Lytechinus pictus: one gene and its partner. The protein of the gene in region 1 interacts with the protein of each later gene in a pairwise test. Links are inferred from orthologs where the notes say so. Each region holds a gene or a part of one and is shown on either strand. Other genes may lie near its edges. The genes, in order: pre-mRNA-splicing factor SLU7-like and peptidyl-prolyl cis-trans isomerase-like 3.

Region 1 (13,004 bases):
GCTTCTGGAAGCTCCGGTATATATCCAAGATGTACAGAGCCGGTGCCCATCTTGTGTAATTTACCTTGTCTTAGCAGTGTCCCGTTTCACAAAGACTTGTTATAAAAAGAAATACATGATTTCTATAACAAATTTACTATCAGCCAATCAGATTGAAGAATTTCAGTAGCTTTTAACTGTTATTGTAAACTTAGTATTGTAGCAAGTTTTATAAAACGGGACCCAGAAGAAAGAAGGCGACATCTCTGCTGACGTTTGAATGTGAAGACACAAGTTATGGTGATAATGATAATGTCATATTTTACCCAGGGTAGCCACTTTAGTTTTAAAAAAATCTTGATCCCATCGGGACCTGCTAAAATGGATAATCGTGTTATTACCTCTCTTAAATTTTGTTGAAATTGTAAAAGAACTCTTGGATAAGAGTTTTACGGTTCAACAGCTTGCAAACATATACCCGCTGTTCTTAAAGTCTGCGCCATAAACAAGATCTTCCTTCACAGTGAACTAACATGTTCCTTTTCTTTTTTTATTTTTCTCCATGTTTTTTCCTCTATCCTTACATGTAAATTTTAATGGGAACATGTGCAAAATACCTGAGGCTTTTAACATTGGTTTATATAAGCTTACTCCATTTGCTTAATACATGTATGTTCCCTGTGTGAATCTTTAAAATAATGAAAAAGAATAAGTATAAGATATACATTATTTCCATTTCACATTTTTTTTATTGAAATAAGGATATGTGATGATAAAATTCTCCCAACTTTATCCTCTAAGAATGAAATATTTAATCACTTGACTCTTGTCAGTGTTTAATTTTTGGCATCATAACACATGTGTTTGAATGATATCTGACACATACAAATACAATTTTGAAAAATAGTGGCTGCAAGATGTTGAAATTCCTGCCATGCTTTCTTTAGAAGATGTAGAACTAGTATCCAAACCTAAACATAGAGGGCGTTCTTTAAAAACTTTCATCTCTTACAACTATGATATATGTATAGGCATATAGTTAGACCTATATGAAAGACATAACAAGTTGTAAGTTTAAATGACAAAATGCTAACCTTTTTGAGAAAGCATGAGGTCAAATATATATTTGATTTTAAAAGCTAGGCGGCATAGTTATATGATTGCTAAATATAAAAAAAAAAACAATGAGGGCTGGCGCAATATATTCATTGATCGTAATGATTGTAACGGGATCGTAATGAACATTATTTGATCCACTGTCGTTGCATCCTGACACTGTTTATAACCTTAACACATGTTTAATAGAATTGACATGAGGCTTATGAATTTGACCAAATTCAGCAAAAGTTTGATCAAGTTTTCCATTTTTTTTTTCAGATTATCATTCAGACTGAAAACAATCTTGCTGGTTGAAGAAAAAAAAAGAAGGAATAATTTGGCAAACCTGGAACTGTATTTGAATTATCCAAGTAATAAGGAATCATCCTTGTTATCATTTTCTCTAAATACATACATATAATTACAATTTCGGGGGGGGGGCTACATTATACAATCTCTCCTTTTCAGTTGGCCCTCCCTTCCTTTCAATTTATATTTTGTTTTGATAATTGTCTATTTTTATATCATGTTAATCTTCATATACTGAAAATATGATTATATGCTACTGAGCAATTGTATAATTATTGTAAATATGAAAAATTGAGAGCTGAAATTAAAACAATTGAATTGAACATTGCCTTCCTTTCAATTTATATTTTGTTTTGATAATTGTCTATTTTAATGTTATGTTAATCTTCATATACTTAAAATAGGATTATATGCTACTATGCAATTGTATGATTATTGTAAATATGAAAAATTTAGAGCTGAAATTAAATCAATTGAATTGAACATTGTAAGTAATCCCTTTTCGATTTTGGTAGATGGTTTGCAAATTCATCTTTATTTGTTTTTGTTATTGATATTTATAAATTATTCTACGGACAAGCTAGACTCTTGCTCTCACCTTGACTTTGATTTGGCTCCTGTCTGCTGTTTGCAGACTCTTTAATTTGCCCACAGAGGAATGATTATATTCAATAGAGCTTGTAGAATTTTGTTAGTTTATACTAGATGCCGAGTTGCTATGTTCTTATAATTTACTGTGGGTTTTGTTTGTGCTGCATTTATTTTGCATGTTGTCGGGTGCTGAAAACGAATGTATTTGTTGCATTTTTTTCCAAATAACTAGTTCAACCATTGAGAAACTACGTGTAGCATAACTTTGCTAAAGAGTATATGGTCTAAATCTAAAACTAACTTTTTACTGAAAACTAATTTTTATATTTTATATGATGTTTTAGCTGAAATCCATGGTCAATAATTAGATAATAATGTGTGTGTGTGGCCTATATCACGTACATTGCATAAAGCCCGGTCAATATTTGGTTTGGCCCTAAGAAAATACAAAAAACTGTTTTGAACAGCTTCTAGTATTTATTTGAGTTACTACTCATCAGAAATAACCTCCAACATGATTCACTATAGACTACTCATGGGGTTGATGTTATTTCACCGAAAGAGACATCATATATCTTATTGATTAGCCAGTACACTGGTCCAATGTGTGATTAATTTGTACTATAATAGTCCCTCTAGTAGAAGAAATACATTTGTATTTTTTTCCATTATAATGATAAGTTCCTGACACTACTGTATAACAAGATAAGTAATTTCAGGCCAATTCAATATTGTAATCCATGTAATTATTGATATGCTTATGATTCACTTTGTCATATATTGTTGAATTTGCTTATTTGTTTAATATTGAACTATTTATCTATTCTTAATACATTGTGTATTAAACAGAATTGTACAGAAATAAACTTCTGGACCCTAGACGGGAGATAATGAGTGATTGTTTGATTATTTTCCAGTGAAATGTTTTTGTTTTAGCAGAAACCAATTTGTTGTCAGACTAGTAATTCTCTAGTAGTTAGAGCTAGGCTAACAAATTTATTTAATCAATTCATTCACATTTTGATACCCCCGGCCCCCTTATGAGACGTGTCCCCATTCTGCCTTTCCGTGACTAAAGAAAGCAATATAGTGCTCCCCTGCAAAATTATAATTGAATGTGGAGGAAAATAAAAGGCATGGGAGAAGAGAGAGAAAGAAGGGAAGGAATGGAAAGGGAGAGGAGACAGAAAAGAGAGAGGACAAAACAAGAATATGAAGAAGAGGAGAGACGATGGACAGGAAAATGAAAGAAAGAGAATGAAGGGAATGGAAAGGGAGAGGCAGGCAGGGGCAGATCCAGGATTTTCCAAAAGGGGGGCACATTTCCGAGGAAAATTTGACAGGCAAAAAAAGAGGCTCTTAACCGAGAAGTAATATTTCGTCCTCGAAAAAAAAAAAAAGGATTTTAACTAAAAATTAAGGATATTTCGCCCCCGAAAAAAAATAAGCAAAAAAAAAGGGTCTCCACTTTTAAAAGGGGCGCACACTTCCGTTTTAACAGCATGTTTACATTAAAAAAAATAATTTTGCTTCTCAAAGGGGGGGGGGGGCACGGGCCGGCTGTGATATAGGAAAGGGAGGAATAGGGGGATAAGGAAGAAAGAGAGAGATAAAAAAAAAAAAGAACCAAAGAAGGCAAATTAAAGCCAGAATAGTTTTGCCCACCCGTGACTTATGAAGCTAAGGCTTTCCCCTAGTTCATCCACGTCCAATTTAAATTTCACATCAGTCTTGCAGCAAGGTGAGCTTGTACATTTTAAAAGCTCAAATTACCTTGAACTTCCATAAAGGGGTACTCTGGGCCTTTTATTCAAAATTTAAAACTAAATAAATAGAGAAGAAAGTATTCAAATCTGATAAAAAATAATGAAGTTATTGGATTTTAAAGTTTAGCAATATTTTGCGAAAACAGTTATGTGCACGTCGTTTTGAATATTCATTAGGTGGGCTGATGATGCCACATTCCCACTTTCCTTTTTCCTATGTTATGTTTTCTTATGGAATCATAATTGTTTCATTATTTCATACATGTTTGAATGATATGTCTCTCTTAATGAAATAAATTGCAGCAATCAATATCTAATGCAATATAAACCAGTTGTCAATCCAATTTCACTACTTCTAAGAGGAAAAAATTGTAGAAACCTTCATTTCACATAATAAAAAAAAAAAATGAGGATATGACATCAATTTGCTTATTGAATATTCATGAAAAAGTGCCTAGAACTGTACAGGAATAAAGCAAAACTTTCATATGTCATAATTTATTTGTTATCTTTGTCCGATTTTGATCAAATTTTCAGTATTTTGATTGCCCAATTTTTTTTTTATCTGTTCAAATCATAATTATCTTCAGCCTGGAGTATACCCCCTTTAATGGTAGCATTACACGCGTACACACCCCCCCCCCCCCCCCCATTTCAATTACAACTAGCTAGTGTTGTAGTAAAGGCACAAACCCTCAAAACCAAGTCATGGTAGCCAAGAGCTAGTCTGCTTTGCAAACCCTTCACTCGAGTTAAGGGTCTGAATTTGCAGCCTATAACGCCTTGTGTACTGGAAGCCCTGATCGCTCAGGATTGAAACAGCATTAAAGTTTTGTATGTGCTATAGCCAGTCTTTGCGTGGAGATCAAAGTTTCGATCAGAGTCTGTCCCTGCAGACTAACCCATGAAAGCCATCGTGTCATTTCAAACTTACAATGAACAGAACAATGAAAGAAAGAAAGAAAGAGAGAAAAAAGATAAGAAGTAAACTGAACAGCTGGCAAAGAAATATTAAAACCTCTAGGTCAGTGAAAAATATAGCAGTTTTTACTATAAATACACAAATTTTAAACTCGCTCCAAATGCGATTTTGTTCAGAAAACTTGACAACCAACAAATTAGTTGTTTACGCACCAAAATGAAGGAGGTCTAGGACAAAATCTCTCCATAATAATTAGAACCCAATTTCAATAAACCTTTTGGCGTTGATTCTACACCCATGTACAAAATATGGATAAAAGTTGGAACATGTATATTTCACGTAGGCCTACTACGTACTGGTAAAATATCTTACACTTAAATTCTAGTTTACTTGTAGTTCAAAATCTCCATGATGAAGAAAAATTGTTATAGGCACAAGTCTCTTTTTATTCAAATCTTCCATCTCATTATTAATGCTTTCTTGAAATTATTGTTAAATAATTCTCTGCCAAACATATTGACACACACACACACAAAAGTTAACATTGTTTAACCCATGTCTTGTCAATTTGAGATGTTAGACTAAAAACAAATACACAGAAAAAAATACAAAGGGTGTACTGGCTATCTGATGCATATAAGATTTTCACTATTCTGTCCAACTGACGAGCCAACTGTTAATTGATACCCATCTCTCATTCTCCCTCGGTTCGAGTTTATTTCAGTCTCTCCCTCTCTATCTCTCTTCCTCACTTGTTAGCTTGCAAGGCATACCCACAAACAAATGAGAAAAAGAACGCACTAGTAAAGGTAAAAAAAAGTATGAATATGATATTTTATTGCCAAAATGTATTTTAAAAAAAAAATTCTGATATCAAGAGGGTTAATTAAACATTTTTCTTGCTCACTTCACTCATTTGCAACTTTTTTATAAGAAAAATAAAATTGTTCCATATATGTTTGCCCCCTCCCCCCCCCCAAAAAAAAGGGGGTGGTGCTCATGTGTGCCATTAGCATGAGGCTTAGTGAATTTGACACAATTTAGCAACACTTTGATCAATTTTTCATTTTTTTCAGATTATCATTCAGACTTTAAACAATCTTGCTGGCTAAAGAAAAGAAAAGATGGAAAAATTTAGCAAACTTCTTACTGTATTTAAATCTATTAAGATATCATCCTTGCTTAATTTTTTGGAGCTTGTTATGACAATGTCAAATTTATTTCAGTTCCAGCACTATCATTATTATATTCATCATAATTATCAGTACTATTGTTATTATCACAGTCATCATCACCATGATAAAATCACTAAAGTGGAAGAAAGCAACAAACAAAATGCAAAAATTGCAGCAAAAATGCCGTGACCAGGATTCGAACCTGGGTTATTGCGGCCACAACGCAATGTCCTAACCTCTAGACGATCACGGCTTTCCACAGTGCTTCGCACGGTGAGTGAGGGGAAAATAGCGTTTATATAACTACGTTGTTGCCAATTTACAAGGCTGAAAGCCGATTTTAAAGACGTAGGAAATATATTGTTATATTTTAAGTTATATTCTATTTTTTCAATTTTAATTCCATCAGATAGTATAGATTTTAAATAAAATTATATATTTTTGGGGTATAAAACCCTTAGAATTTGTTAAAACACATAAACAAAACCTATGAACATAATTATAGATGAAGATCTCCATGCATGATCGATATGCATGATGATGCTTTCCCTATTTATGTCATGTCTGCGTCCGCGACGAATTGCGTATTTGGATCCAATATTTGCCAGTAAGTGTTAAAAATTAATTTTTAACGGAAGCGACATGCTATTTTTAGGTTGATATACCACAGGGAAACTTAGTATTCGCAATTTTGCGTTATTTTCATGATTTATGCCAAAATTATTCCTTCCTTTTTTTTCTAGATTTTGCGCCTGGTCCCACTACTTTCATTTGATGTCTCTAAGTCTAATTGTGGGTCCACTAAAAACTGCCCCCTTTCCTTTAATTTTATTTTTATTATACTTTTGTTTTCCCTTTAAAAATCTCCCTTGGCCCTGCCAACGTGTTCAGTTCCCCCATCTTATTTAAGATGGAAATTTTTTATGTTTTCATGAGCTAGTGCCTGTCTAGACAGCTGGCAGCCGTCTGTTTCGAGGAGTTTTTTAACATTTTTTAATTTTTTTAATTTCTCCTCGTACACAGACGGCTCGCTATCGTGCAGCCACCATTAGGGGACTTACAATGCAAAATCCCCCCGTCGGGGCTCTTCAATTTTTGTCTTTAATGAATCAAACTTATGAAAATTAACGCGACTGAAATGCAAATTAATATTCCCTCTTGGTAATGGTAGGGTGTCTGAAGCCACACTGAAAAGTGTCAGCATAAAACAGGCTAATTTAGGGGGAAATATGGCACATTTTTTCGGGGAAGTTCAGGCTACTAGTACTAGAAAAATGTGATCTGAATTGATTATTAACTTGTGTTTGGCATGTATGGAAAGAGAAAATTCAGGGGCTTCTTTTGACAGTAAGGACAAGTTTATATGATCATTTTAAATAAGGATTTAGAGATAAATTGCAAACCCTTATTTTTGTGTGTGTTGAGATTGCCATTTCTCCATGCGTTTTCTATGGGAAAATGACATTTCTGTTTTGCACAATTTTTTTCACTTTGTCGCAATTTTTCATTGTGATCTGGTTTCCAAATCTTTATAAAAATCATACCATCAGATAGAGCATAAAAAATCCTATTGGACTCTTTATGGACAAGTTTTTGGCATTAATAATAAATTTATAACAGCTCTCGGAAGCTAAAAATTTGGATTTGTGTATGTTCATTTCTTAACTACACAGTCTATGGCAGAGAAATGCTGAAAATTTACCTAATTTCATTCTTCTTTTTTGCAGCCAATAATTGGATTTTTTTCAAAAATGTTACATTTCTGTCAGTCTGAAGGTCATTTCTCTTCAAATTCACAAAGAAAATGTGATATTTTCTTGAAATAAGATAAATAATTTTTTTCTCCAGACACCCTACTCTTGGCATTAATTGCCAAAACACTGGGAAAATCAAGTTAAAAGGAACAAAAACAGTGACTTACCTCTGCTGTCGCGCAACTTCACTGCCCTGTTTTATCCGAACTTAATACACATAAACATATGGCCATTCGTCCCCTGTACAGATCGCGCTAGAACTTCGGTCTCTGTATTTGGTGAGTGAAGCCAACGGAGTTCAGCTGAACAACCAACATAATTAACATAGACCGAAGCTTTTGGTCTAGTGCCTGTCTTGCCTTCTTTAGTTTAGACGGGAATAACCGGCGTCGTTTCTGGGAATTTCTGACATTTGGGGTCAGGACAACTCTGATTCCTGACATTTTACTAGTATCATCCCCATTGGTGAGTGAGCCAACGTAGTTCAGCGGAGCAACCAAAATACAGAGACTGAAGCTTTTGGTCTATGCCTTCTTAAGTTATACGTGACCATATTCCATAATTAAAAGTTTTGTTTTAAACTAAACTTCTAAAGTAATTTAAATAAAACGTCATAATGACATGAATGACAAATGTTTGAAACATATTTTTGTTTACCTTGGCTTTTCGGGCTGGGAAGAGAGAGGAAGAGAAAGCAAAAGTGATATTGTAAAAAAAATCATATTTTTATATTTATTTTTTTTTAACTTTTATGATAACCCCCCCCCCCCCAAAAAAAAAAAAAAAATCCATTTACCAAACTCCCTTAAAAAAATCACCCTCTTTTGTTTGGCCAGTCTAGTGACCCTATTTGATCGATTTTTATGTTTGGGTGGCTGTTGCAAAAGGAACTCTTTCCAGCTTGGAATTTCTGCAATATATTTTGTTCTGAAATGTCTTTTCACAAACTCAAAATGACATTTGCATCAATAATGGTTGACTAATACTTGTCTGTTTTCAATTGCAATATTTTTCAATAGACCAAAAGCTTCGGTCTCTGTTAAATTGGTTGTTCCGCATAACTCCGTTGGCTCCACCCACCAAATACAGAGACCAAAGTTTAATAAAATCTTGAAATGTATTGCTATGTTTTGCTTTGCGCCATGCTTTGCGATTCGACAGATGACAGCCCCGGCCCTGCCCTTCAAATTTGTCTGCTCCAGTGTGCGGCCGTGCACCCATCGTGGCAAGACTTCTATACATGTACGTCCCCCTTTACTCCAGTAAAATTGAAAAATAAAATATGGATTTTATCAAGTCATACATGCATATAATTATAATATATATTATATATTATAAGAGATTTAGTAAGGAAAGTTAAATACCGGTACATACATGTATGAAAAAATATGGCCTTATTCCGTCAAATGTTCAGGTGTGTGCAGTTCCCAATGGCATCGATTTATTTAGTCAGAAAAATAATTCCACTGTACTCTTGGAGATTAGACTAGTCGTAATATCGGCTTAAAACTGGGCGTTGTGGCGTGCGCCTGTAATCCAACGTACGTGAGGAAGTTACAAATTGATGCAGAGGTTCGAACCCTGGTCACGTCTATCGGATGGTGCCATTAAAGGTCGGTCCCAGACGTAAATAATCATATCTGATTGATACATGTCTGACAAAACTTAAATACACACATTTCCTGCTCAAGGTGTGATGTCATCAATTTTCCAATTTTGCATTTCAGCATTTTTGATACCATATTTTGCTAGAGCATGATGAAATACCCCCACTACCGAAATTGGGTGCGAATCGGTCCATGGGGGCCGGAGATATGACCTCATGAATACATAATTAGTCCCACTGAAGTCAATTTATTGGCCTGGTTCCAAACTTTTAGCTCTTTTTTTATCCATTTTTATATGATTCGCTCAATTTCTCTGACATCCTTATTTTTTGTACATTTTGTCACTTAGGAAGTACTGACCAGTAGACCAGTGTCATGTCCTATCAAGGGACAACGCTGCCTTCTGTGGCGGCCATGTCCCAGAAGACGGAGGCCCCGAGCCAAGGGAGCAAACGAGAGGACTGGAGGAAGGCCAAGGAGTTAGAAGAGGCTCGTAAAGCTGGTACTGCTCCTGCTTTGGTTGATGAAGAGGGAAAGTAAGTACAGTAGCCTTAAACAAAAGGTGATTGATCATATAGTTGGTTTGTATCCTTGATCGTTGCACATAACTGTCAATGTAACCAAGAGCTTTGTGTTACCATAACCCAGGTATTCTGTAATACTCCATTTCATTTGGTAAGCTTTTGAACATAAACTGCCTGCCACTTTACGCTCTCTGGAAAGTATGTCATAAAATCTCTATGCGACCTTGAAAAATCAATATCATACATGTATAAAGCATGGGCAAATCCAGGGGCGGTATTCTGAACATCGTCTTCTCTCAATATTGTATCTTTTTTCAGAGATATGAATGAATCAGTAGTCTGGTGGTCAATGTCATAACTTTTGTCATTAATCTTGTTATAATTTTTTCCTCTTATTTTTAGCAAGCACAATTTTTTTTTTTAGAATTCATAAATGCGCATGATGATAACATTTTTGACAGGGTCCACCATTCATAAATTTTGTCATAATAAGTGCCATGCTATCCTGGTTCCTTCCATGCCCACTATGTCAAGCACAAATTGATATGTATTTAGATTAGATTATGGTATACATTTCACACATCATTCATGACTTTCCCAAAATATAATTTTCATGTTACAAGAAGGAATGTCCTACATATTTCTTCCACTTTTCCCCATTTTTTCTCCCACTCTTCTAAAAATCCTTCTCAGTTATTTGTCTGTATAAACTATAATTAAGCTTTATTAACATGCAGTCTTGCAACACCCAGCTACTGTATTGAGGATACACCCTATGTGTACCTGGGCCTTTCTATAGGTTAGGAGAGCTTTCACTGGGAACTAACAATAGTATCGAATGGGCTGTCTGTGAAACGATGGGCAGGAACTTGGAGAGATTTGATAGAGAGAAGACAATCTTCAGGATACAAAGTTATGACAATCATAGCGGTCTCTCAATTTTCAGAATACCACCACTGGATTTCCAAATTAGGGGGAAGGCACTGAAAAGAAAGTAAAGTTCAGCACACATTAGTTGACCACTATTTACACATGTATAAAAATTATGCTAAAAAGGGAAAGAAGATAAAACTGAAGCAGAAAAAAAAAATAGTTAATCGCTCTAAAATCTGACACTCTGCCTAAAAATATATTTAAATCAATCTGCTTCTCAAGAAGTAAAAATGATCGAGATAATTCTGATAAAAATTAATTTTTTTATTCCTGTTCTCTAGGGACATCAATCCACATATCCCACAATACATTGCAACAGTACCATGGTATGTTGGCTTTGACAAACCTACCCTCAAGCATCAGCGGCCTCAGAGATTCAAGAAAGATGTGTCGGCCATTAGTTCCTGGTACAAGAAAGGTGTGGAGGAGGTAAAGTTCTGTCAAAAACTTCTTAGCTATATAAAAGGGAAAGTCTGTATGCAGTACATTTACCGTATTGTATATAAGGTTTATTTCCAATTTGTCCAATTGCCAACTCGTCTACTATCATTTGGTCTACCATCAGTTCGTCCACTCACCGTATGGTCTACTTTCATTTAGTCTAATGCCATTCCGTTTAATAACCAGTTGGTCCAACAGCCAGTTAGTTCATATACCATTTGGTCTAATTAAACTAAAGTATTAATTGTGCAAAATGAAGGAAATTAAATGGGTATTAGACCAACTGGTTATTAGACGAAACGGTAATGGATGAACTGGTGATTAGACAATGTGATGATTGGACCAAATAGTTGTTAGACGAAATGTAGATGGATGGAATGGCATTAGACTAAATGAAGGTAGACCATGTGGTGAGTGGACGAGTTGGCAGTGGACGAATTGGCAATTTACTATATATAATGGGGGACTATTCGGTGTGGGATGTTTGTTACAAAAAACAGGGTAGGAAATAATTTTGATTTTAATGGGCTATCTTTATTTTCCACTTTGGGGGCATTTACAGAATTTTGGGGCTATTTTTTTTCCGTCATTTTAAGTACTACTTTTTAGGGGTAACAGGCAATTGTGCAGTAATAGCAAGTAATATCATTATTCTGCCATAATCAGAATATTGATTTTCTGAGAATTCTTGAATCTTGTTTGTGACAGATCTTGGCGTGACCTGGCGTGTGGTGAAAGAATATTCACCCCAAAGCATGCATGGGGGGATTTCAGTCAGACTGCAGGTCCCAAGAAAGTGGCTTCTTTCATCCAAGTGATATTCATGACTTGAGATGTTTTGCATATTTAATGAGCTTGATGCGGACCAAAACACCTCTTTTCATTCGGTCATTGCTGCTCTAATTATGCATGGAATTTCATGAATTTGGTACCATTGTAAAGAAGAAGAATCATTCTTTCAGGTCATGTGTTTGGATTTATTCAAAGATTTTGTAATATAGGTTAAAATTTTGATCTAAAATATGCTACAAAAAAAATATTTTCACCTGACAAAAGCTGCTTTTTTCACACTTTATTTTTGTTTGAGCCCAAATGATTTTTATATCATGATAAAGCTGAATATGTATGCTTTGAAATGATATAGGTTTCAAAATAAGAATCGGTTTAATCGGGTCAAGATCACACTTTTCATTTGCCAAGTACATAAAGCAGCTTGAAAACAAGTATACTGCACTCTGATTGGTCAAAAAGACCACACAATGGCAAATTCCAACGGTTCCAGTGCTTGGGTTCGTGGGAAGGTCACACTTCCCATGTGGTAATCTCCTCAAATACCCCGCGCCTGTTGTTCTGTGAACCTTATCCAGCCAATCAGAACTCTGGATTTCATGCAAGTACAAAATTTCAGAAATCTCGTCTTGTACCTTGGTGGGAAAAGTGTGATCTTGACCCGATTAAAAGGTGCCGCATATCAAAAGTGGCATTGTGAGAAAGTACAGAAGTTCAGCTTTATGGTGATATAGATATCATTGAGGCTCAAAATAAAAAGTTTTGCACAATTTGCAAAAGAAAACAGAGGAAGAAAATTCAGTTTTGAGGCACAATTTCAGGCCAGAAATTTACTTATTTAACAAAATATTGTATACAAAATAAATGACCAATATGAAAGAGTAACTTTAACTCTATCTGATGGTGCAATAATATTTCATTTAACTTGAGGTTAAAACAGGTAAATTCTTAGAGAAAGAAAATCTCACGAATCACGAGATTTTGCAAGGAGGAGGATTCAGCCACGAGATGATTTGGATGAATCTGGCCTTTTTGCTCATTAGCATAGGGACCTGCGGTCTGACTGGATTTTAGGGGCAATTTGGGCTATCATGAGGGCGAAATCGCCCGTTGCCC
Region 2 (12,837 bases), on another chromosome or scaffold:
AAATTGGAGTCTAAAATAGCTGTTGTTATCTGAAAAACCCTAAAACCCGACATAGTTTGTTTAATATCTGCCTTGGGGATATGATGATGGTGTCTAACCCGTGGTTTAATGGGTCAAGAAATACGTTGGGACAAGTAACAAAGACAGTCTATGGTCTTCCATGTCCAAAAATCCAAGATGGTTTGCAAAAATGGAGTATAAAATGTCTGTCGTTAATTACAAACCGACATAGTTTGTTTAAAAACCGACTGGAGAATATGATTTTTTAGTATAACGCGTGTTTAAAGGGTCAAGTACTAGATTGGGACAAGTTACAAGGACATTTAGTGAATCCAGTAAGTCCAAAAATCCATAATGGCTTCCAAAAATGGTCAAATACATGTAAGCCGTTCTTACCGAAAAACTGACATAGTTTATTTAATATCAGCCTGGGGTATATGATTTTGGTGTTTAACCCATGGTTTAAAGGGTCAAGTAATAAATAAGGACAAGTTACAAGGACAGTCAGAGGTCCAGCATGTCCAAGAATCCAAAAAGGCTTCCAAAATTGGAGTCTAAAATGGCTATTGTTACCTAAAAACTGACATAGTTTGTTTAATATCCGCCTGGGTTATATGATAATGTTGTCTATTCCTTGGTTTAAATGGTCAAGTCATACATAAGGATAAGTTACAAGAGCAATCAGTGGTCCTGTATGTCTAAAAATCCAAGATGGCTTTCAATTAAGGAGTGTAAAATAGCTGCTGATACTTAAAAATTGACATAATCTATATAGAATCCATCTGGGAGATATGATTTTGGTGTCTACACTATGGTTTCAAGAGTTAAATAATACTTTTGGATTAGTTAGAATGGTATGAAGCTGTCCATTTTGCCGATTATTTAAAGATGGCTTTCAAAATGAGTCTAAAAAGACTTCCATCACCTAAACATAGTCATAATTAGGTGAACAAAATCTACACTACTGTGGTTTGAAGGCTAAAATAATAAATCGGGACAAATAAAAAGGATGGTCAGTTTTTCTTTTCGTCGTAAAAAGTCCAAAGTGACTTCTAAAATTGCGTAAAAATGACTGATGTGCCATAATCGTGAAACCATGGGATAGTCCTAAGCACAAAATGACGTGTCTTGAAATACTTATCAGTGATTTATGGAACTTTTTAGGTGAAAGTGTACCTTAGTTTTTAAAGTTTGTTTTTCGGATGTTTACTTATTGTTGCACCACTATCTAATTATGTCACTAACTCTTGTAAAACATAATTTTCATGAGTCTTAAAAACAGAGACACCAAAATAGTGGCAATAGATGGGATATGAAGTATTGTCGTTTTTGTATCAATGGTGGCCAATTCGAATGTAATTTTTGGAGCGTTCTTCAATTTCTTTACAAAATGGACAACGGTGTATCAATGTAATTCGTCTTAACCTATATTATCTGACCCTTGAAATCATGAGAAAGACACAAAAATGTTTCTAGGTAAATAGTATATGCACTTTGCAGCAAAATTTTTAAGAAATAACTATTTTTTAAGCCATCATCATTTTTTTTTGCCAAACTGCACCACTGATAAACCTTTACATTTTTCCGATGTAATTTTTCCCCTTTGGAACCATAATTTTTTATGTTTTATTTCATTCTCGGTAGACCCCAAAGTTATTTCTACCAGGTGGACATTATATGAATTTGGACCATTTCAAAGATACAACGTCCAGACGTCCATTATAGACGTCATTTTGGAAGGTCATCTTGGATTCTCTGACAAACTCACTGACTATCTTGTAAACATGTCCTGATTCATTATTTGCCTTGAAAGCATTTTGATGATTTAGATTTTGATTTTGAGGATTTACTTTATTTTTGGAGTTGATGGTACAACGACTGCCGTTTTGGATGCTATGTTGGATTTCCATGTAACCTTGACGACCTTTTGTAACTATAACCTGTCTAAATAGACTTTGTTTAATCCTAACATGCCTAAGTTTCATAAAATAGACATCTACTGTATACCCTAAAAGTAATTACATTTAAAAAACTCAGTTAATATTTGATGTTGACTTTACCGTCGCCATGGTCATCGCCGCCGTCGGAAAAGTGACGTCCATGTCTTGCTTCTGCTATGCAGGCAATGAAAAAATGGCGGACATGTTAAAGATATCACAATGTGAATATGCCAGCATCGCCCCAAAATGATTAATCATTTGGCCATATTATTTATCAATCAGCAGCTGTGAATCATGGCAGCCATCTTGTAAATAAAGATGGCTGACGAATCAATCGGACACATTATGTTTGCAACCCTGGGTATCAAATATAACGCATATATCCCAATTTCTGAAATACAATCACCCATAAAAATCGTTTAATATGGGAAACTGCATTAAAAATGCCGCCATTTTGTTTTTTGCCGATTTGAGGATAAAAACGTCGGAATCAAGTTTGGCAAACAGCATTTTTGGATTCAGCACCCCTGAATTACCTTAAAACAATTGATAAATCAGCATTAACACAAAATGCCTAAAGCACTTTTTCTGAGCACATTTTTTAAAATCTGGACCTGACTATTTGGGAAATCAAGGCCATTTGAAGGCTGTGATTACTTTGTTGAATGGTCTTGGTGCCCCTCTTATATTGGTCTTGGAGATTTGTTGCACTTTTTTATTATCTTTTCTCATCTTTGCTGCAACATAAATATGTGCCCTAGTTTATAGAAAAATGGCCTTGCCCTCCTTGCCCTATAAATATTGAATTTTAAGACCTTGATTTGACAGGTCCATGATTTGACAATAGGTATTGATCAAGGATGAAAATTCAGGTCTCCCCAATCTGTGTGTGCAGCAAAATGACAGTCATATTATTTTATCATATGTTACTTGGTCTTTAATTGTAAAATTTGTCATCTTGCTTTTCTGTATGAGTTCAGTGTTTTCAAAGTGTAATGCAGTTGTTTTATATTACGATATATTTAAAAGAGCCGTGGTGTAGTGGTTCTGACTTTGTAAACAGAGGGTCGTGTGCTCGAATCCCACCGCGGTCTAGCGTTCTTTGGCAAGGTATAAATCCACACTTTGCCACTCTCGACCCAGGTGCTAAATGGGTACCCGGTACATGTAGGATGTGAAAGTCATTGTAGGTTGTCCAGTACTGTGTGCACTCCAACGGTAACTGACTGTAATACTCCCCAGGGAGTGGAGGATGTGCACACATTGTGTGCGGGAATGACTGATTGAATCCGATAACTGGGTAATAATCTGTAAAGCGCTTAGACATGTCGTTCGGATCGATGTATTAAGCGCTATATAAAAGCGGAATATTATTGATATTATTCACTGGACACTCAGGTGTCTGAATTAAGGAAAGGTAGACAGTTACAGGATTATTTATGAAAAGTGCTCTGTAATGCCTAGTCTACCTTCTTGGCCCACCTTATACTGTGCTGCATGTACAAGTACGGTAGTGGGATAAAGATTGTCAGTACCACATTCATACTTTGTGCAATCTGGGCCTCGTCTTTCAAATAGTTACGATTGATCCAATCAATCGTAACTATGAAAATCCATCAGTTTCATAATTTTTTCTGCAGGAAATTTGCACAATGTCCTTTGTAAACACAGGAGAAACACACCAAATTGTCAAAAAGTTAATGAATTTATGAATATACATCATATCTAGTAAAATTTTTGAACAAACATGCATTTTCTATGTTGACTCTGTTGGCTTTCCATAGTTGTGGTTAATTGGATCAATCGCAAGTCTGACAGGCCCCAGGTATACAACCTGCAGACAGTGTATGTAGATTATCTGATAGCCATTATCTTAAAAAATTGCAAGGACTAGTATCAGATAATGAAGTTTTATTATTGTTGACTATTAGCACAAGTGGATGTTAAACCAAACGGCAAATAGACCAAAGTTATACACGTAGCCGTCATGGTGTTAAATGATCGAGCATAACCCAAACTGGTAGTAGACCATGCGCTGATTGGACCAAATTGACAGTAGACCAAATATTTTATTGGTAATGTAATGTACATGCAGTAATGGACAATATGTGAGTTAGACCAAAGGCTATTAGACTAAATGGTGATTGTACATGTACATGTACCTAAGGGCAACGTGACCAACACCTGTATAGGTGTTATAACCAGGATGAAGTAGTAGACCAAGTGATAATTGGGCCAATTGGCTATTCTACTACATTGAGAGTAAATCAATGGATTTAGTGATTGGGCTTTGTATCAATAGATGATCTGTGGAATAGGTATAGGCCAAGTGGTAATTGGACCCCAAAATTGGACCAAATTGCAATATGACCAACAGAGCTCTATATTAAGGGAGTACACTGTATGATCTGGAAGTAGACCAACTGAAAGTAGACCAAGTGGCTCTGATTATTTATCATGAGGCCATCTACTTTTGCATAGATTTATAACATGGTGATTGCCTTTTGAACTTCATATTAATTTCTCACCGTATAATAGTCAAGTATACAAAAGGAAATTACACATGGAACCCAAATGTGTACAGGCAAATGTTGGATGTGCATGTACATTTACTCGAATAGCAAAATTTTAACATTTTTCCCCATCTCATGCTTTTTTATCATGATGATAGTGGACCCTCGAAAACAATTGTATTCCCTTCCAGTATACATGAGATCTTTCAAGCAATGTATATTTTTATTGAGTTAATTAATGCTCAATTAATTAATTTTACTACAGAATAAAGCAGGCATTAGTAGAAATCTATAATAGACATGTTGTTACCTCAGCCACTCAAATTGCATTATCATTCGCTTGTAATCAGTATTTTGTAATGGACCATTTATTCTGATTATAGCTTATATTCAATACAAAAATATGCAGTATTAAGTAACAGAATGTTGTGGTAAATGTACAACTTTTTGTATGTTTATCAGCTTGAAAATGGGTTATTATGAACAATAAAAAAAGTTGCTCCCCCCCTTTTTCAAAATACCATCATGTTTTAATGATATGAGTCATGAGGTCATAATGAAATATTCTGGGAGAGATGTCTTTGAAATCATTGATCAATTCCCGCGTGCAGATCAAATTAATCTGCCTACTCTTAATATACAAGAGGATGCATAAATGATGAAAATTGCATTTTTAAAATTCAAAAGGGTCATTTTGTAGAATTTGTCATTCCAAATGTTGACTACTCTCTTTTTGGTTTATGATTGAAAAGCACAATTATTTATGCCCCCCCCTCTACTGGCACATGCTGAAGTTCAATGAGCTTAATTGAAAAAAATGCCAATCTTTCCTAAATTTTGAAATTGTAAAATCCATTCAGTTGATCGCAGAAAAATGAAACTGGATATTTTTATCAGTAATCCTTTGTATCTAAAAAATTGTAGGGACATTAGACTGAGGTTATAACACTTTCAAGGTTGATTCAAGCACACCTAATGCTTTGATTTTTGTAGTGTTATTTATTCCTTATCAAGGAATCCCTGTAACTCTGTGACAATTCTGCTGTTAATGCATTTTAATTCGGTGGATTAACAATATAGTGCACCTTCTATCGGTTGCAGCGAACAGGCAAAATTTCTAACTTTGGGGTCGACATCGCGCACAGGCCCATGCAGCGCGTAGTGCTAGTACTTCAAAAATGAAAACCAAATGCCACCATTTCACCAAAAACAGTCTAAATTTTGCAAAGAAATATGCGGGCAATTTCTCTCCTACCTCCTGGACCCAAGTAAATAGCATGTCCGGTCGAGCCGCGTCGGCCAGCGCTGAATAATCGCATGTATGCATTCACTTTAGTACTAGCGTGCTTAACAGATAGATGGCGCACCGTATTGTGAAGCCACCAAATTCATGCATAAATGTAATGGATTACTGAGACTTTTACACAGAAGGTAGTCAGGGGGGGTGAGTGAGTCAGGCCTTTGACATTATAGCAACTGATCATGAGGCGGATTTATACAATTAATTGCATTGCTCATTGTATATGACCTCGGTCCCGTCTTACAAAGAGTTACGATTGATCCGATCAATCTCAAGTACATGTATATAGGGAAATCCAGCGATGTCATAATTTTTTTCGTTAGGAAATTTGCTCAATGTCCTTTAAAAACAAATAAAGCACACTGAATTGTCAAGAAATCAGTAAATGTATGACTATACATCAAATCTTGAATGTATTTGAAGGAACATGTATTTTAGATGTTGACGTTGCTGGCTATCCATAGTTGTGATTGATTGGATCAGTTATAACTCTTTGTAAGACGGGGCCCAGTTGTAAAATCTGTGTCATGATCACTTGCTTACTAAGAGTTTTATGTTACATGGCACACAGGAACACAATACTACCACAATATATTCTAATCATTTTATTAAAAGCCTACATGTACGTGTAATGGTATTTTTGAAAGAGGGTTGACCTTTTATTGAACATTGTTTGAATTTTCATTCAATGTAGTATACATGTAAGTGGCAAAGTGGATGATATATATATTTTTCTATTGTGTACACAATCATAGCAATCAGTGGAATGTGTGTGGAATATTGATATGGATATTAAACCACAGAGAAGACAGTGATGTTGTTTTTGTAATTACTGTTTTTTATTTGACCTATAAGTGTAGGACATATGCATGTATTGAGATACATGTACCATTGATATTGTTCAATTTTCTGGTGTAACGTAACGTTTGTAAATGACATACCTTTGTTCATGTAAGCTATTGGTAAAATGATCATACTAACATGTCATGGCATACATAAGGTTCTGTTGGAATGAGAGAGAGAGAAAGAGACAGACAGACAGAGGGCAATCAGGGAGAGAGAGGGGGAGAGAGAGAGAGGTTTGCGTGGAAGAGGGGGTAGATAAATACAAATTCAAAATAAAGAGCTATAAGAAAAAGAAAGGAAAAGAAAGAAGGAAAGGAAATAAACATTTGAAAGTTATGAATAATATGAGAAAAAAGGAACGGCAAGAAAGATAAGGAAACAGAGGAAGGATGATAGAAAGAGAAAGAAAAGAAAGTGGTGATGGATAAGAGAAAGAAAGGAAAATGGAAGTATTGTAGAAATGTAACAAAAATGAAGGAAAGATGGATATAAAAGAAAGAAAAAACTAATTACAAGAAAGAATGAATGAAGGAAAGAGTAATTTGTTTTAACTCCCTTTTCATGGTGATTGATTTTGCCACAAGTTGAACATATCTCATGAACTCTATCATGAGTGTAAGGAGGGGCAATAATCATTAACCCCTGCCCCTAAAAAAAGCAAATTAAATTTTGAAACCATATTCTACCCTCCTTCATTAAAATATTTAATCTGAAGCTGCCATTTTCCAAGATTTATCAGATATTAAGATTTTTATGGGGATTCAGTTGATTTGTCTCGCATTAGAAAATTCCTATTGCTGATTACGATAACAAATAAGCAAATTTCAACATATCACAAAGGGATTACAAGTAGAGGCAATACTAGTAGTCGACCCTTATTAAAAAATATCCTAGATTAAAAGTTGTATTTGAACCCCTACCTTGCCCAACCCCACCCCATCAAAAAAGAAAATAGGTAAATAAAATTTATTTGAAAAATATGCATGTAACCAAACACTAGTTAAACTCAACTTACAGTGAACTTGCTGAATATATTTCTGTTACAAAAACACATGATGAATACGTTTATGTTTATTCATCTCTCTCTTTTCTTGCTTTCTAGTCGGTGACACTCCACACAGATGTTGGTGATATCAAGATAGAGTTATTTTGTGATCAGGTGCCCAGGACTTGTGAGAACTTCTTAGCATTGTGTGCCAGCGATTACTACAATGACTGTCTCTTTCACAGGTAAAGTACCTACATGTATGTGGTCTTGATATTTCAGAAAAGTTAAAGCAGTCCTTCGCTTTTCAATTTTAAAGCCTGTTTTTTAGTTTTGGGAAATGCCCAAGTAGTTCATGTGCCATTATTCCAGTCAATTATGATATATATGAATGGGCATGCCCTAAAACAGATCTGGCGCCTGTTGCATAAAAGAAAAACTCTGGCAATTTTTTTTTGCCAGAGTTTTTCAATGTGATATTGTCAATGGCACAATTTTGTCTGCCAGAGTTTTTTATGGCACAAGTTTTATGCAACAGGACCCTGATAAGGAGGTTTGATCTAATAAAATGTTTTACTGCTTAAATTTTGCGATATTACATTAATATAGTACATGAATATTTTGAATGGGTGCCATTCAAAAGGCTTGTACCGCCGAGTTGGATGAAATCACGTTGAGTTATGGGGAGCCCACCCTTTTGTCCAAAGCCTCCCCCCCACCCTGGTTTTGCCGAAATGGTGCATTGGGACTTTCTTTGAGATTCTGATTAGTTTCACTGAGTTTTTTTATTTATATAATTTTCAATCAGCCATTTCAAATAGGGCATCATCCGGATCAGCTTATTACCACTTGGTCTACAGCCAGTTAGTCTAATAGACAGTTGGTCTAACATTTTTATTATTATTATCATCATTACTATTATCATTATTATTATTGGATTATTATAGTAGATTGCGAGACAAATGAATACCCTCTAGCGATTATTTCAGTCCGCAATAATGAACCTATTTAGTATTATTATTATTATTGTTATTAGTAAAAGTATTATTATTAAAATTGTTGTCATTGTTGTTGTTATGAGGAAAATCAATTTTCAATGTCATACCATCCTCTCACTATTGCAAAAGCGAACTAACCAAGCAAGAGCACTTCTTGATATTTATTTTGCTATTTGTTTTCTTTTTTTCCTAGAAATATCCCAGGCTTCATGGTACAGACGGGGGATCCAACAGGAACCGGGAAGGGTGGAACTAGCTGCTGGGGAAAGAAACTTGAAGATGAACTCGATGATGATTTAAAGGTTAGTTAATAGCCAAACAGAGAACATTTGCTATATTGCCACTTGGTCATCACCCACTTAGTCTACTTTCAGTTCGGTCCCATCCTACGTGGTCTAATCTCAGTTCCTCTACAACCAATTTGTCTACTAGAACCATTTGGTGTAATTGCCATTTCGCCCATTTACCATTTTGTCTAATTCCAGTATTACTATATCTATCTTATCCCCAATCACCTGGTATACCACAAATTTGTGTATATAGGCTGTGATGCACCAGCCCGAGTTTGCTCAATCTCGAGATTTTAGCACGATCAGCCCTCTTCGCGATTAATCTCGAGATTCAAGAAACCTCATCTCCTCCAGTGCAAGAAGAGCAATTCGTGCTCAAGCGAGGCATCGATGCATTGTAGTCTGACGCCGTGAATGACTAATCTCGAATGTGTCTGCACCTGTGAATTAGCGGGATAATTTGAAAATAGCACGCTATTTTGAAAATAATCCCAAGTTGACTGAGGATTGCAATCTTGAGATTAATCCAGCGAACTATCACGATGATCGCATCTCCATTACAAATAATCTCGAGACTGGATAATTTGCCGGATCAGAAATAGCGTGATTATTTGAAAACTCGGGCTGGTGCAGACTGCCCTCATGATTAGCTAAACTGTTTATGAACCAAATTTTCATTTGACAAAGTGAAAAATAATAAGCAGACTAAGTGGACTTTAGATCATTTGGGCTTTAGACATGATGATAATTAGACTATAAGTAGGCATTAGGCCAAGTGTAGTGTCAACTGAACAGCAATTGGACCAAACTGGTAGTAGACCAAATGGGTCTTGCCCATGTGGTATCTTGATTGTTGATCCTTTTTTGACAATTTCTTCCAAAATTTAATCTGTACCAGAATTTATTTTTTATAAAATTTGGATGTAAAGATCAATCAACAGATTTCAGAAATTTAATAGATGAGTATAATTTCAGGTTACTTGGTGAAGGTCAAAGGTCATTTCAGATCAATTAACTCTGATTGATATTTTATTCATTATTTAAAAAATACTTAAGAATGCTAAAATAATAAAAAACATTAACACATTTTAAAAATACTAATCAAACTACATGAAACACAGATATTGTTATTTGATATGAAAAATAGTATAACATGAATAACAAGTTTGTCAGTCAAGGTACATGTGAAAGGTCATTGAGGTCCACAAACTTAGTATTTCATTATCCAAATTAATGTTATTTTCTCCCCTTTCTTAAGAATAAAAATAATCATCTTAGTTGCTGTCAAAGTCAGCACTGCTGCTATGTTGAATCGTGTAATGCAGACGAGCCTGCCAGAGGCATTCCATTTGTTTCGTATTATCTCTCCATGTCCCTTGTTTTTATCTTCCAGCATAATATACGAGGGGTCGTTTCCATGGCGAACAATGGACCAAATACCATTGGGTCACAATTCTTCATCACGTATGGAAAGCAGCCTCATCTTGACATGAAATACACCATCATTGGAAAGTAAGAAAATCTTAATGATTTTTTGTTTTCATTTTATTTATTTGTTTTTCATAATCTTTTGGACCTGATATTACCATCGTGATATGATGAATAGTGACCCATATTTATCAAATTACAAAGCATTATTGAAATAAATATAGAAGAAAGTTCTCACAACTAATTAAATATGAAGTAATACATTTCTTAAATCTATCCATGTTGGGAGCTAAAGGAAATATGTTGGGAGAAGTGAGTTTGAATCATCTACAGTATGTCGATTGATGCAGATATATTTTCAATATTTCTTATATGTATATACTTGAATGTTAAATATCTAATTTATACACTAATAATATGAACATTTCCAATATTCATCACCCCTTTCATTTTGTATCAAAGTCATATGTAATAATGATTCTTTCTTTGTCTGTAATTCTATTTGTCAGAGTCATTGATGGCCTAGAGACTTTGGACGAGCTTGAGAAGTTAAGAATCAACGAGAAAAACTTCCGACCTCTGACAGAATGTAGAATCAAGACAGTTACAATACATGCCAACCCCATAGCTGATGACGCATCATAGCGTCTCATTCTGTAGTGTTAAAAGGTATTGGATAAAATTCTTAAGGTATTATTTTGAAAAAGTGTTGTATTTACTGTTGTTCATATAAAAAATAAAAAAAAACAACAACCAGGAAGATTCAGACACTTTAAAGATATCTGTGACTGAATAATCATCATTTTATTAATCCCCTGTGGAGACTAATGTACCACATATCAGTATATGGAATAAAGTTTGGATGGTGTTTCAGGGTACCGTCTTACAAAGAGTTAGGATTAATCCAATCAACCTCAACTATATGGAAATTCATCTGTGTCAATTTTTTTCTACAGGAAATTTGCACAATGTCCTATGTAAACAAAGAGGAGCACACTGAATTTTCAAGAAAATGATGGATGTATGAATATACATCATATTTAGAAAATATTTAAACAAACATCATGAAACATGTATTTTAGATGTTAACGTAGCTGGCTTTCCATAGTTGTGGTCGATTGTAACAATTGCAACTATTTGTAAGACAAGGCCCTTGTCACTGGTCGTGTGGTTAGAGCATTGGACTCATAATCGCAAGGTTGTGAGTTCCAATCCCGACTCTATCATTGTCTCCACTTTCATAAAAAGACAGAGAGTAATATCTGTCGTCTATAACGTCAGCCACTATGACTGATTAACCTAGACGTAAAATGTTTCCTAGGTAATTGGTTATATACCAGCTTGGCATTTACCAGCAATTAAAGCTGCCCTGCGGAGTTCCTACGGGAGTTACCATCAACAGAAACTTTATTTTCACCTTTTTGAAGCACTAAATAATGATTTTCAGGTGCAATTTTCGCAGGGCTTCACTTTTACAACATATCACAGACACAGGTGATAAGTTAGTACTTGCAGCTCATGCTTTTAAGAATCAAATCAATCTTAACTGATGCCTTTAATGAATATTACATTTTTATTTTAGATGTCTAAAATACGGCGAGAACCTGTGAAATGTGTATAAAGACAATCTCAAAGGTACTAGAAAAGTGGCCTTTTATTCACAGAAACATTACTTTCAGATTAGCAGTTTTTATTCGGGAACGGCACTGCATTTTTGTTTTTCACTTACATATCATGCTCCTTGTATAATCGCAGGGATCCCAGCTAATCAGGGAAGTCTGTGAAAATTATTTTACCATTTTTTCCAGTCATGGAAAAGTGAGGGAATTTGGTAAAAATGACTCGAATTAGGGAAAAGTCTGGGGATTTTGATCCTCTTCAAAAGTGTAGAACAAGCTTGTAGACAGAATGTGGAAACAAGACCATGAGTGGGACAAGATAATGAAAAGAAAGTGTCTCCTAAAGATTGGTCTAATTGTGAGTTGTTTGGTTTACTTTTTCATCAGGGTTGTTTGATTTAAATCATGTCGATTTAAATCATGATTTAAATCGCGATTTAAATCACTTGATTTTTTTCAAAAAAATCACTGATTTAAATCAACTTTTATGAAAAAAATTATTTTTCTCTATTTTCTCTTCTTCTTAACAGATACTTTAAATGTAATCATTTTCATTTCTGTTCCACATGCTTTAGAGATACTTTAAAAGAATGATACACCCTCATGGAGTCTGATTTAACACCACTGTTTTATTTTCAAATTGTAAAACAAGCAAAACTGATGAAAACAACAAGTTTCTAACGAAGTAATGATAAATAACTCTCTGTATGTACACCAAACTGTTAAATCTTCAATAAAATAATATATAAAATCTACAAAGGTGCTCAAAGTCCACAACTTGGATACTTTTACAAAACAGCTGAACTACTTATATGTACCTCCTTCTTGTTACTATTAATACCCATTCTTTCAATTACTTAAGTTGAAGGCATATGTGTACATTTGATAAGAATTACATGTATTTTTGCATGCTTGTGT

The links.
Region 2: the proteins of pre-mRNA-splicing factor SLU7-like (region 1) and peptidyl-prolyl cis-trans isomerase-like 3 interact in binary tests that used the Homo sapiens proteins (3 or more experiments, as listed by UniProt). The link is inferred for Lytechinus pictus from reciprocal best matches to the Homo sapiens genes SLU7 and PPIL3.

The regions. Positions count from the first base shown.
Region 1 is NC_087256.1:22,742,764-22,755,767, reverse strand, and holds the start of pre-mRNA-splicing factor SLU7-like, read left to right. Parts: upstream 1-6,363; 5' UTR 6,364-6,447; intron 6,448-9,550; 5' UTR 9,551-9,576; coding exon 9,577-9,737; intron 9,738-10,939; coding exon 10,940-11,087; intron 11,088-13,004. UniProt on the Homo sapiens protein: Required for pre-mRNA splicing as component of the spliceosome. Participates in the second catalytic step of pre-mRNA splicing, when the free hydroxyl group of exon I attacks the 3'-splice site to generate spliced mRNA and the excised lariat intron.
Region 2 is NC_087259.1:15,881,504-15,894,340, forward strand, and holds the start of peptidyl-prolyl cis-trans isomerase-like 3, read left to right. Parts: upstream 1-7,208; coding exon 7,209-7,214; intron 7,215-7,701; coding exon 7,702-7,829; intron 7,830-8,775; coding exon 8,776-8,884; intron 8,885-10,265; coding exon 10,266-10,384; intron 10,385-10,809; coding exon 10,810-10,945; 3' UTR 10,946-12,837. UniProt on the Homo sapiens protein: PPIases accelerate the folding of proteins. It catalyzes the cis-trans isomerization of proline imidic peptide bonds in oligopeptides. May be involved in pre-mRNA splicing.